Neurospora crassa OR74A: one gene and its partners. The main gene of each other region encodes a partner of the protein of the gene in region 3 in a complex. Links are inferred from orthologs where the notes say so. Each region holds a gene or a part of one and is shown on either strand. Other genes may lie near its edges. The genes, in order: NCU17114, NCU07057 and NCU02804.

Region 1 (2,952 bases), on a different chromosome or scaffold from region 3:
GGGGGGGGGGGGGGGGGGGGGAAAGATAGCACGCAGAAGAACACACGAACTTTTTTTTTTTTTTCTTTTTTTCATCAAATGTAGCAACCCAAACTGAACTAATGAGCTCCGAAACAGGAGCACGGAAAGCGGTGTGGTCTAGAACTTTTTGTTACAAAAGAGTCTTCGTTCCGGTCCGGTTTTGCTCCCGCGATCCATTTCTGGCGGGGTCGCAGAGGTCCGAATCGAGACTACAGTCTTGGTACAGTATGGAGAGTCAATCAAACAAATGCCATATTCTGATTCGGACTGCTATCCGCCAGACGAGGCGGTATCGCTGAGCTGTTTCGTAGCCGCCAAGATAAGCTGCTGCTGTGCTGTGCTGCCTGACAAGCCAACGTTAAATCCGGGCCGTTGTATTCTACCTCTAGAGGTAGCTGCGGCATGTGTAGGACCAGTGGACTATATCTAGTATCCAGGAACTATCCTTTTCGTCGACTTACACAGTTCCCTTCCAGCGCCTTGTTGGCGGGACGGGCATGATTACAGCCACAGTGCTGTCAACGGTCACCATGTTGAAATTACGGTACACAAATATCAAATTTATGTTCTTGAATACATCTCTCTCAGTGTACAAGCCCAGCAAAGGTGTTGATGTTGTCAATAAATTTGTGTGAGATGTTCTGATAGATATCACGCCCGTTGTGTTTTGGCCAAGGCCTCTGGGGTTCCTCGGTGAGCTCTCAGCTCACTACACTCAGCTTGTTCCTCACCTTGCCTTCACCGATCCTACAAGTACACTAAACCGCGGGCAGCCACCTGCCAAGCCCAGCTAGGAGCGCACACGACCCACCCACAGCCCCACCACGGCCCACGCACCCCCGGCGGGCCGGCAGGCAAAATCTACAATCGCAATCGCAAGAAGCGCGGACGACCCGACGTCGATTGGAGAGCTTCCGGCGCAAAGACCGTGCTCCGTGAATCCGCCCGCCCTCCGCCCGCAGTTTGCGAACCTCTCCGTCCGGACGAGCCCCAGCCCGTCGCCCGTCGCCGTACCGCACTTGATCCAGTCCAGTCCAGGCGCGCCGTTGCACACCACAACAGCGCAACAAAAGTCGTTCAACATGGCGAAGAAGGGTAATCGACTCCATCCTCACCCGTGTGTCTGCAATTACTGCTTTGTTTTCCTAAAGGGAAAAGCGATGCAATGGGGAAACCGGAAACCGAAAACAGAAGACGATAGTTGCTGATAGGTAAACAACAAACAGCCAAGTCCCGCATCATTAACGTGCGCCTGATCTCAATGGCCATGACGGGTTATTTCTACACCTTCACCCGTCCCCGTACCTCGCTGCCTATGAGCATGCTGAAATACGATCCGATCGGTATGCGCATATCCTCTCCCCTCATTCCTATCTACCTCTTTCGCTTCCAACCACCTACATGATTGATTCGGCGGACACGACGACACGGGCATGATATGGAACTCTTTTTGGTTGCGGGCTTTCTCGATTTGCACGATTCGAAACACCCCAATACGCTTCGTCGAACGGACCTTGGGAAGCTCGCTTGGGACTGGGACTAGGACTGGGATCAGGCTGGGACGCAACAGTTCAAAGACTCGGACGATGGCATAACGTACGGACCTTCGAGAAAAGAAAAAAAAAAAAGCAACCAGCCAACCAACCGGCCAACAGAGAAGAGAGGAGGGGACGGAAGAAACACTTGCCTACGACAGACAATTTTTCCCAATCACGGATCTCGAAGAGGAAGGAATACCTACTAACCCTTTCGCCTCTCCACCATAGTTCGCCGCAAGGTCCTCTTCCTCGAACAGAAACGCAAGGGCAGGTCATAGATCGTTACTCGCCCCCGGGCCTAACGACCGTCGAACGACCGAGAGCCAGAGCGAGAACGCGGAGCCTGCGATACGGAATCAAAGAGCGTAGCGGCGAAGCAGCGACAAGTAAAAAGCTACAGCACCCCCTCCACGGATTACCACGTCACACCAAGTTACGATTTCGACCGGGTTGTGTTTCAAGCAGATCACCAGCAGACAATGGCCAGTGCTGGCGAGTGAGTTGGAGCTGGAGCTGGAGAGGGGGGTGGACCGGACCGGAACTGGACTGGATATATGGAGAAGAGAGGCGCAAGAATAAGATGGGGTCCCTCGTTCCATCCAGTCTCTGGTCGTGTATTATTACTGTACCACCGATCCATCAGTATATAACATCACCCTGTGAGTTATGGATTGGCACCATGGAGCGTTTGTTGCTTCTTCGCTCTACCGATGGGCCAGGTTGATTAGAGAATGTACAAGTCAAGAGATAAGCACAACGCCCCTCGGCCGTCGGCAATGCTGGGCGTGACCCAGGTTCACTGCCAAGTGGCTCTCCCTTCTCTTGTGTTGTGTGGTAAGGATAACTCTTCTATCGCGATCAGACAGTCTGTCATGACACCTCGACATCTTTGACTTTTCTTGCCATCGTACATCGCTTTATCTCATCTTTCTATATTTTCGTGGAAATCAAACTTTTCATTAGTCACAAGACCCGTCTCCCAACATTTTACAGGCGTTCTTTCACACTCTTCTCGTCGTATACATATTGAATCTCAATTCATTCGAAACACAGTCTCCAATCCACACAAATACGCCATGCATCGACATATGGATCATAACTTATTCCCAGGCGGAGGCAGAGGCAAGTCATCTCCGTCTTCTTTGTTTGCATTCTGCGAGAGGGTCATGGAGTCTTGGGTCTCATCATTGGCGCCCCCGTATCGCGAAAGTGGCTGGGACTGAGACCGTGATTGGGACTCGCCGTTCGTTTGACTGACCGAGTTGGTGTTTTCCGCAGGATCAACGGACCTTCTACTGCCATAAGTTCGAGTCGGTGCTGATCTGGGTGGCAAAAACCTGTTGGCACCGTTCATGACCTCGGGTAGGAGGCCAAATGAAGGCTTGAAGTTGAT
Region 2 (3,315 bases), on a different chromosome or scaffold from region 3:
GATCATATCGGGTGGAAGTAGGGAGTCCAGAAAGACCCTGCACAAGTGACAGCCCGCCCCTGCCGACTCGTGAAGGTCACAAATGCTGAAATCCCGCAGGTGCCAATCATCTTCGTCGGCAAGCACGGCGTCTTCCAGGTCCCAGAACCACGGCCCAGTCGTAGGGAACACTGCTTGGCAACCATCACAGAGCTTGTTAAGCTGCCTGGGGGGGTAGCGAGACTTCATGACGGGTTCCTCTGCCAAGGCATTGTCGATCGGTCCATGGTTGAAGTGGGCAGATGGTTTCATGGTGTTGGTTGATTATGATTAGGTCTGTTGTGGGATGGGCAGATGACATGTCAAGGTATCAAGTGAATGAGGAGAGGCTTGCAGCTTCAGGAAGAGCTGGGTGGCCAGGAGATTCAAGGGAAAGAAAGACCATAGACAAGTTCATGCAAAACAAATGGGATTGATGGGGCGCACTGGCGAGTTGGGGCGAACTTTCTCGACGGGATTCGCTCGTTTGAATTCGGTGATCCCTTTGTATGTCGTGAAACTTGAGCCGAAGGTGAATTGCTTCATGCCAGAGAAAGGTTCTTCTGGGAGGCGGTGGTTGCTTAGAATAAAGTAACTGAAGGTAAGGAAAGGAAGAAACCCGCGAAACTACCTCTAGGTAGAAATACCCCTCATTGCTAGGCACACAACGCACCTTCTCAAAGGCGACCAGGCAAAGGGCAAATAGAGGTTAGGCAACAATCAACAAGAGTGACCTAAGCCCTAACCCTATTAAAATCCCCGATCTCGCTCCCTCAATAATCTAACAACTGAAACAAGACCCCCTTGAATCTCGGACAGGGACCATTGGACACCTTTGGGTATAGTCATATAAATCGGCCTTGTCTCTTCTAGAAGAAAAGAAATGTGACGGCGAGATCATCGTGACATCAAAATTCAAAGAACCAATCCGAAAGGGGAGATGTATCGTAGGCAGCTCTGAAGGCGAGTGTTCTTTGAATACGTATGGTTAGCTATCAGGCTGTATCTCAATGGTAGGAATGTCGAGACCATCAGCCTAGGTAGCAGCGTGGCGACTCCAAAGGCAGAGAACCTGGACATGTTCCAATTTCACATATGACCCAGAACAGTGGAGCTGCTAGGTGGTTGATTCCTGGTGGTCAGGTCATATAATGTACAGTGGAGAGTGGCTCGTGGTCCTTCGAACGGGTCTGTGTCGGCAGGCTTTCGGAATGTAATCAGAACTTGGGTATATATTGCGTTTGGTAGTTTGATAGTTGAGTGAGCCTCGCTCCATTTCCTCGCCGTGGTCTGGTATCGTAATGTCCTCCTCCTCCCTCCTTGAAAAAATGACGACCGTTTAGTCGAGACCGTTCTCCGACTTCCAGCGAGCAAGGTAAGTGGCGGGGTTCTTGGGGCCGAGCTTGTCGCCGGGGAACTGGTCGTGGACGGGGCGGATGGTCTTGGAGACGAAGGGGGTGAGCTTTGTTGTTGTTGGATCTTGTTAGCATAATTCTTTTTTATTCTCTTTTGTCCTCCATTCTCGGTCCCTCCCCTAGCACCAGATCCCCCAACACATCCCATTCCAACCCCAAACCCGGACGGAAATAGAGGACCACCCACCTTGAAACCGGTCAGGTCCGGGCACACATAGGTGCGGACCTTGGTGTAGTCGATCTTGTAGGTACCGTAGCTGGTGTGCGTACCCATGGAACCGGTGCGGTTACCCTTGTAGAAACCCTTGTTGACGTCCTTGGTGGTCAGGCGCAACTTGCGGTACTTGAGACCTTGGAGGATGCGAGTGGGCTGCATGGTGGGCTAGGAGGATTGCGCTTTGCGGGGCAACGACGACGGAGAATTGCTTTTTGTGGTCGGTGATCTGGGTGGTGGAAGCACCTCGCTGTGGTGAGGGTGGTTGAGGTGGGCGCAAGTGGGACGGAGACGGGATCCGCTTTAGAGTGTTGAAGATCCGGCGCACGCGACAGGAACGGAGACGGGACTCGGACTCGGACTCGGACTGGCGCTGGACAACACGGACGGCGACGGGCAACGGGCGACGGGCGACGGGGTTGGAATCGAGAAATCGCAAAGACGTCCGGGGCCGCGCCGGGTTGAGGTGGAGCCATTTCAGAAGTTTGGAGCTCAATTGAGCCAATGACGTGAGGCTGGGAGAAACAGGTACCCCTGTAGCCTGCTGCGGCCCCGCAAAATGGGTGGGTGTTGCGCCCTCACCGCCCGAAAATTATCGATTACAGAGGCGGCAGAAAAAGTTTCGGGGGAGCTTGTTCACTGGCAGAAAGTTGAAGGCTTGGTGGGAGTTGCCGTTGAAGGGACCTGACCACTTCGACCTCCAGGACCCGTGCAGGCAAAAGTTGGACATTGACATCCATCGATTCATTCCATCCAACCACTGGACTTCGTCGACAATCTCATCACCCAATTTTTGCTTGCTCGACCTCGAACTTAATTGACTGAATTACCTTCCGACTTCCAATCAGTCAATTCTCAAATACCAGCAAAATGCCCGGCCGTCAAGCCCACGGCAGGCCTCTAATGCCCAAGTCGGGCGGCGGAGGGCGTCCCAAGCACAGAGTCAACAACAAGACTGCCGATAGGAAATCCAGAAACAACGTCCTCGACGCCTTCGCTATTGCCGCCGAACAAGTCCCCCAAAAGAAAGCCAAGGGCGTCCGCACACGAGACCTCGACGAGCCCGAAGAGCGCCCCCAGAAGAGACAACGAGATGGCGACGACGAAGACGATGAGGACGGAGACGAGGATGAGGAAGATCTCGAGGACGCCAGGCCACAAAAGAAGAAGGCCAAAAACAGCGACGATTTCGAAGGCTTCTCCGACGGTGGCGAGGACAGCGATGGCGAGGAGTGGCACGTTGGTGTAGGCGCTGATGACGAAGATTCCGAACTCGACTCTGATGAGGCCTTTGGTGAGAGCGACGAGGAAAAGTTCGATGGCTATGCCTTCAGCGGGAGCAGCTCCAACAAGAAGGGCAAGAAGGCGAAGAAGGGTGGAAACGACAGTGATGAGGAGGAAGAGGACGAAGATGAGGACGATGACTTGGAGTCGCTCGGTTCCGACGCCATCGATCTCGCCACAGCACTGGATCAGTATGAAAGCAGCGAGGAGGAGGAGGGCGAAGAGGAGTCAGGATCGGAAGACGACGCGGACAGCGAATCGAGCGAAAGCGAAGACAGTGACGACGATATGGAAGACCCTTCCAAGCTCGACGACCTCCAAAAGATGATCTCCGGGTTTGCGGGCGACGACAACGACGACGAGGAGCAATCAGGCTCGAAACCA
Region 3 (2,585 bases):
GGTGGGTGAGGAGGGCGCGGCGGTAGGCTTGTTTGATCGAGGCGGGGGTGAGGTCGGAGGTGGTGGGTGAGAGGGAGAGGATTTCGTAGAAGGTTGGTTGGGACATCTTGGATGTGTTGGTGGTTTTGCGGTTTGGTGTTCAATGTGGTGTTTGGTAGTGCGGCCCCGGGTATAAAATGGTATGGTTGTGAGACCGGTTTGGTGTTGAAATGTATCGACGTGTAAGTGGTGAAAGGTTGGTGGTTTGCGTCGAGCAGCTTTCGAGAGAAAAGTTTGTATCCCGCAATCACGTGTCTCTTTGCGCTCGCTGCCCTTGTTATGTTGCTGTATACAGTAGGAAATGTGAATAGGCAAAAAAAAGAGGATGTGTGATGTGTCGGTTCTCACGTGGTGGTTTGAGTCTTAGTTGTGTGCCTGGTATCGTGAAGTGAGTTGTTCAGAGAAACAAATTCGGGGGGGAAATTTTACTGCACCGTTAGACACATTACCTCGTCTCGGCCTCCAACCACAGTGGGGAACTCCGTCTTATAAGACGCCAGAGGACGTTCAGTCAACAACCGGGAAACAGAACCACATTGATGGCAATCCCCTTCCAAATGGCTTGAAATTTGTTGTACATTGTTGGTGATGATACAGTCTATGGACATGGCAGTGACTCTCGTTGTAATCTTCCCGACAAGCGACAACAACCGATCGCTTATTTGGGGAACTTGGTCCAGTTCCTCTTGCCGACCTGTAGCGAAGCCCATGGTTAACAAGAGTGCAAACCGCAAGAGTTTGGGCGCAATCCTTACCTTTTTCCATTCCCGGATAAGGTCGGGCATAGCCAGCATGGCCTCTCTCCTCTTCTCCATCCTGTGTGCGAAATCCACCGTCAGCAAACCACCACTTCCTCCCAACCAGCAGCAGCAGCAGCAGCAGCAGCCGAGGATCGACAACGTACTTGGCAACCAGTGTCCTTTCGTGCTTGTGACCCTTGACCTTCTCTCCAACACCGGTACCCTTGACACGGAGACCGAGCTCGACTCTCTTCCGTAGCTTCTCCTCGTTGAGCTTGCGGGTGAAGGGCAGCAGCTCCTCGACGCCGTGTTCCTGGGCCAGCTTGACGAGCTCGGCCTGTCGCCTGAGCGAGTACTTGGGGTTGTGCCACTTTCCGGTGATTGGGTGCTTGGTGGGCATGAACGGGTTCGGGCTCTCCTCCTGGTAGGGCGTCTTGTGCGTCTCGGGGTCGGCGCCGGCGGGCAGGATCGAGGCCGGCGGGTACCGGGCCAAGAAGGTGCGCAACCGCGGTGGGAGCGAAAGCGCCAGCTGGACGTGCTGCTTCACCGTGGCCGCCATGGTGAAGATGTCGATCGACCGGCCTGCTGGCGGTACTGTGTCGGTCGAGGTGGGGGGGGGGGTTGTTTGTTTGTTTGTTTTTGTCGTAGGTGACAGGGTCCGGATTGCTCGAACGAACCGGAACGGGGAACTTTGCGATCAATCGGCCGCCGACGGGACCCCAACTGCGAAAAAGTTCCAGGTCGCGAAACGGTACATAGCGACAGCCGGAAGTTACACTTTGAGCCCTAACCCGACCTCTTTAACCCCCCGCGTAAGGCGGGGCATGTGGAGACCCTTGAACAGGCACGACAGGGATCACCGACCTTGAACCGTGACATAACTTTTGGGCGGGTCGAGAACTGTGCTGCACCGCTGCTGCACCCCAGAACCACCCAAGTTCGCCATAACAACAACCCCATTCCGGAACCCAGCACTGCTTGGAAATCAACACGTTTATTGTCAACACTGTCGCCTCCGACCAGTCTCTTCCTTCGATTCATCACCAACTCCATACACTACCACGATGAGCACGACATCAAGACGGGAACCCCCAGACCTGGCAGCACTGCTGCGCAAGAAGAAGGAGGAAGAAGCCGCCGCCGCGAAACCAAGATTCATCCCCAAAAAGGAACGAGAGAGGCTAGAAGCCGAGAAAAAGGCAAAGGAAGAAGAGGAACGCAAGCGCAAGGAAGAAGCCAAGCCTCAACCAAATGGAACAAATCATAACGGCAACCGCATGGACGGTATCCAGAGTCATCACAACCACAACCCTCAACGAAACATCCCAACCGGACCCAAGGCGATGCGGTACGACGATGACCGGGGACCCAACGGCATGAGCAACGGTCGGGACTACAGAGACAATCGCGACAACAGAGATAACCGAGACAGAAACCAACGGGGCGCAAAACGCGGCGCACCCAACGATGACGAAGAGAAGCGAGCCAAGATGGAGAGGAACGACGAGGCAGAGCTGCGCGCCCGCTACATGGGTCCAGTAGTAAATCAGTCCACATTCTCGGCCAAGAAGAAGAGGAGGAGGACGGCAGCGAACAAGTTCAACTTTGACTGGGATGCCGATGACGACACTAGCCGACCCTTCGACCCCATCTACGCAGAGCGTCAAGAGCCTCTGGTCCGACTTGGTGGTTACGAGATGACGGAAGAGATGGTGATGCGGAAGGCCGAAGCCATCCGTCGTGGCGATCCCGAGACGGGCGAGGAGCGCGCCAGGCAATACCTGGAACAACACAGACGGATCAAGG

Evidence for each region.
Region 1: NCU02804 (region 3) and NCU17114 share a complex: the UniProt entries of both Schizosaccharomyces pombe proteins name them as parts of the mitochondrial large ribosomal subunit. The link is inferred for Neurospora crassa OR74A from reciprocal best matches to the Schizosaccharomyces pombe genes mrpl25 and mrpl39.
Region 2: NCU02804 (region 3) and NCU07057 share a complex: the UniProt entries of both Schizosaccharomyces pombe proteins name them as parts of the mitochondrial large ribosomal subunit. The link is inferred for Neurospora crassa OR74A from reciprocal best matches to the Schizosaccharomyces pombe genes mrpl25 and mrpl27.

The regions. Positions count from the first base shown.
Region 1 is NC_026506.1:2,293,081-2,296,032, forward strand, and holds NCU17114 (hypothetical protein), read left to right. Parts: upstream 1-814; 5' UTR 815-1,103; coding exon 1,104-1,116; intron 1,117-1,247; coding exon 1,248-1,364; intron 1,365-1,787; coding exon 1,788-1,837; 3' UTR 1,838-2,343; downstream 2,344-2,952. Other genes in the region: NCU03974 (hypothetical protein), read right to left, coding at 2,653-2,952. UniProt on the Schizosaccharomyces pombe protein: Component of the mitochondrial ribosome (mitoribosome), a dedicated translation machinery responsible for the synthesis of mitochondrial genome-encoded proteins, including at least some of the essential transmembrane subunits of the mitochondrial respiratory chain.
Region 2 is NC_026506.1:333,878-337,192, reverse strand, and holds NCU07057 (hypothetical protein), read right to left. Parts: upstream 2,091-3,315; 5' UTR 1,810-2,090; coding exon 1,621-1,809; intron 1,481-1,620; coding exon 1,358-1,480; 3' UTR 585-1,357; downstream 1-584. Other genes in the region: NCU17062 (hypothetical protein), read right to left, coding at 1-291; NCU07058 (small nucleolar ribonucleoprotein complex subunit Utp14), read left to right, coding at 2,518-3,315. UniProt on the Schizosaccharomyces pombe protein: Component of the mitochondrial ribosome (mitoribosome), a dedicated translation machinery responsible for the synthesis of mitochondrial genome-encoded proteins, including at least some of the essential transmembrane subunits of the mitochondrial respiratory chain.
Region 3 is NC_026501.1:9,064,453-9,067,037, forward strand, and holds NCU02804 (mitochondrial 60S ribosomal protein L25), read right to left. Parts: upstream 1,531-2,585; 5' UTR 1,339-1,530; coding exon 944-1,338; intron 856-943; coding exon 795-855; intron 734-794; coding exon 698-733; 3' UTR 525-697; downstream 1-524. Other genes in the region: NCU02805 (diphthamide biosynthesis protein 4), read right to left, coding at 1-106; NCU02803 (pre-mRNA-splicing ATP-dependent RNA helicase prp-28), read left to right, coding at 1,844-2,585. UniProt on the Schizosaccharomyces pombe protein: Component of the mitochondrial ribosome (mitoribosome), a dedicated translation machinery responsible for the synthesis of mitochondrial genome-encoded proteins, including at least some of the essential transmembrane subunits of the mitochondrial respiratory chain.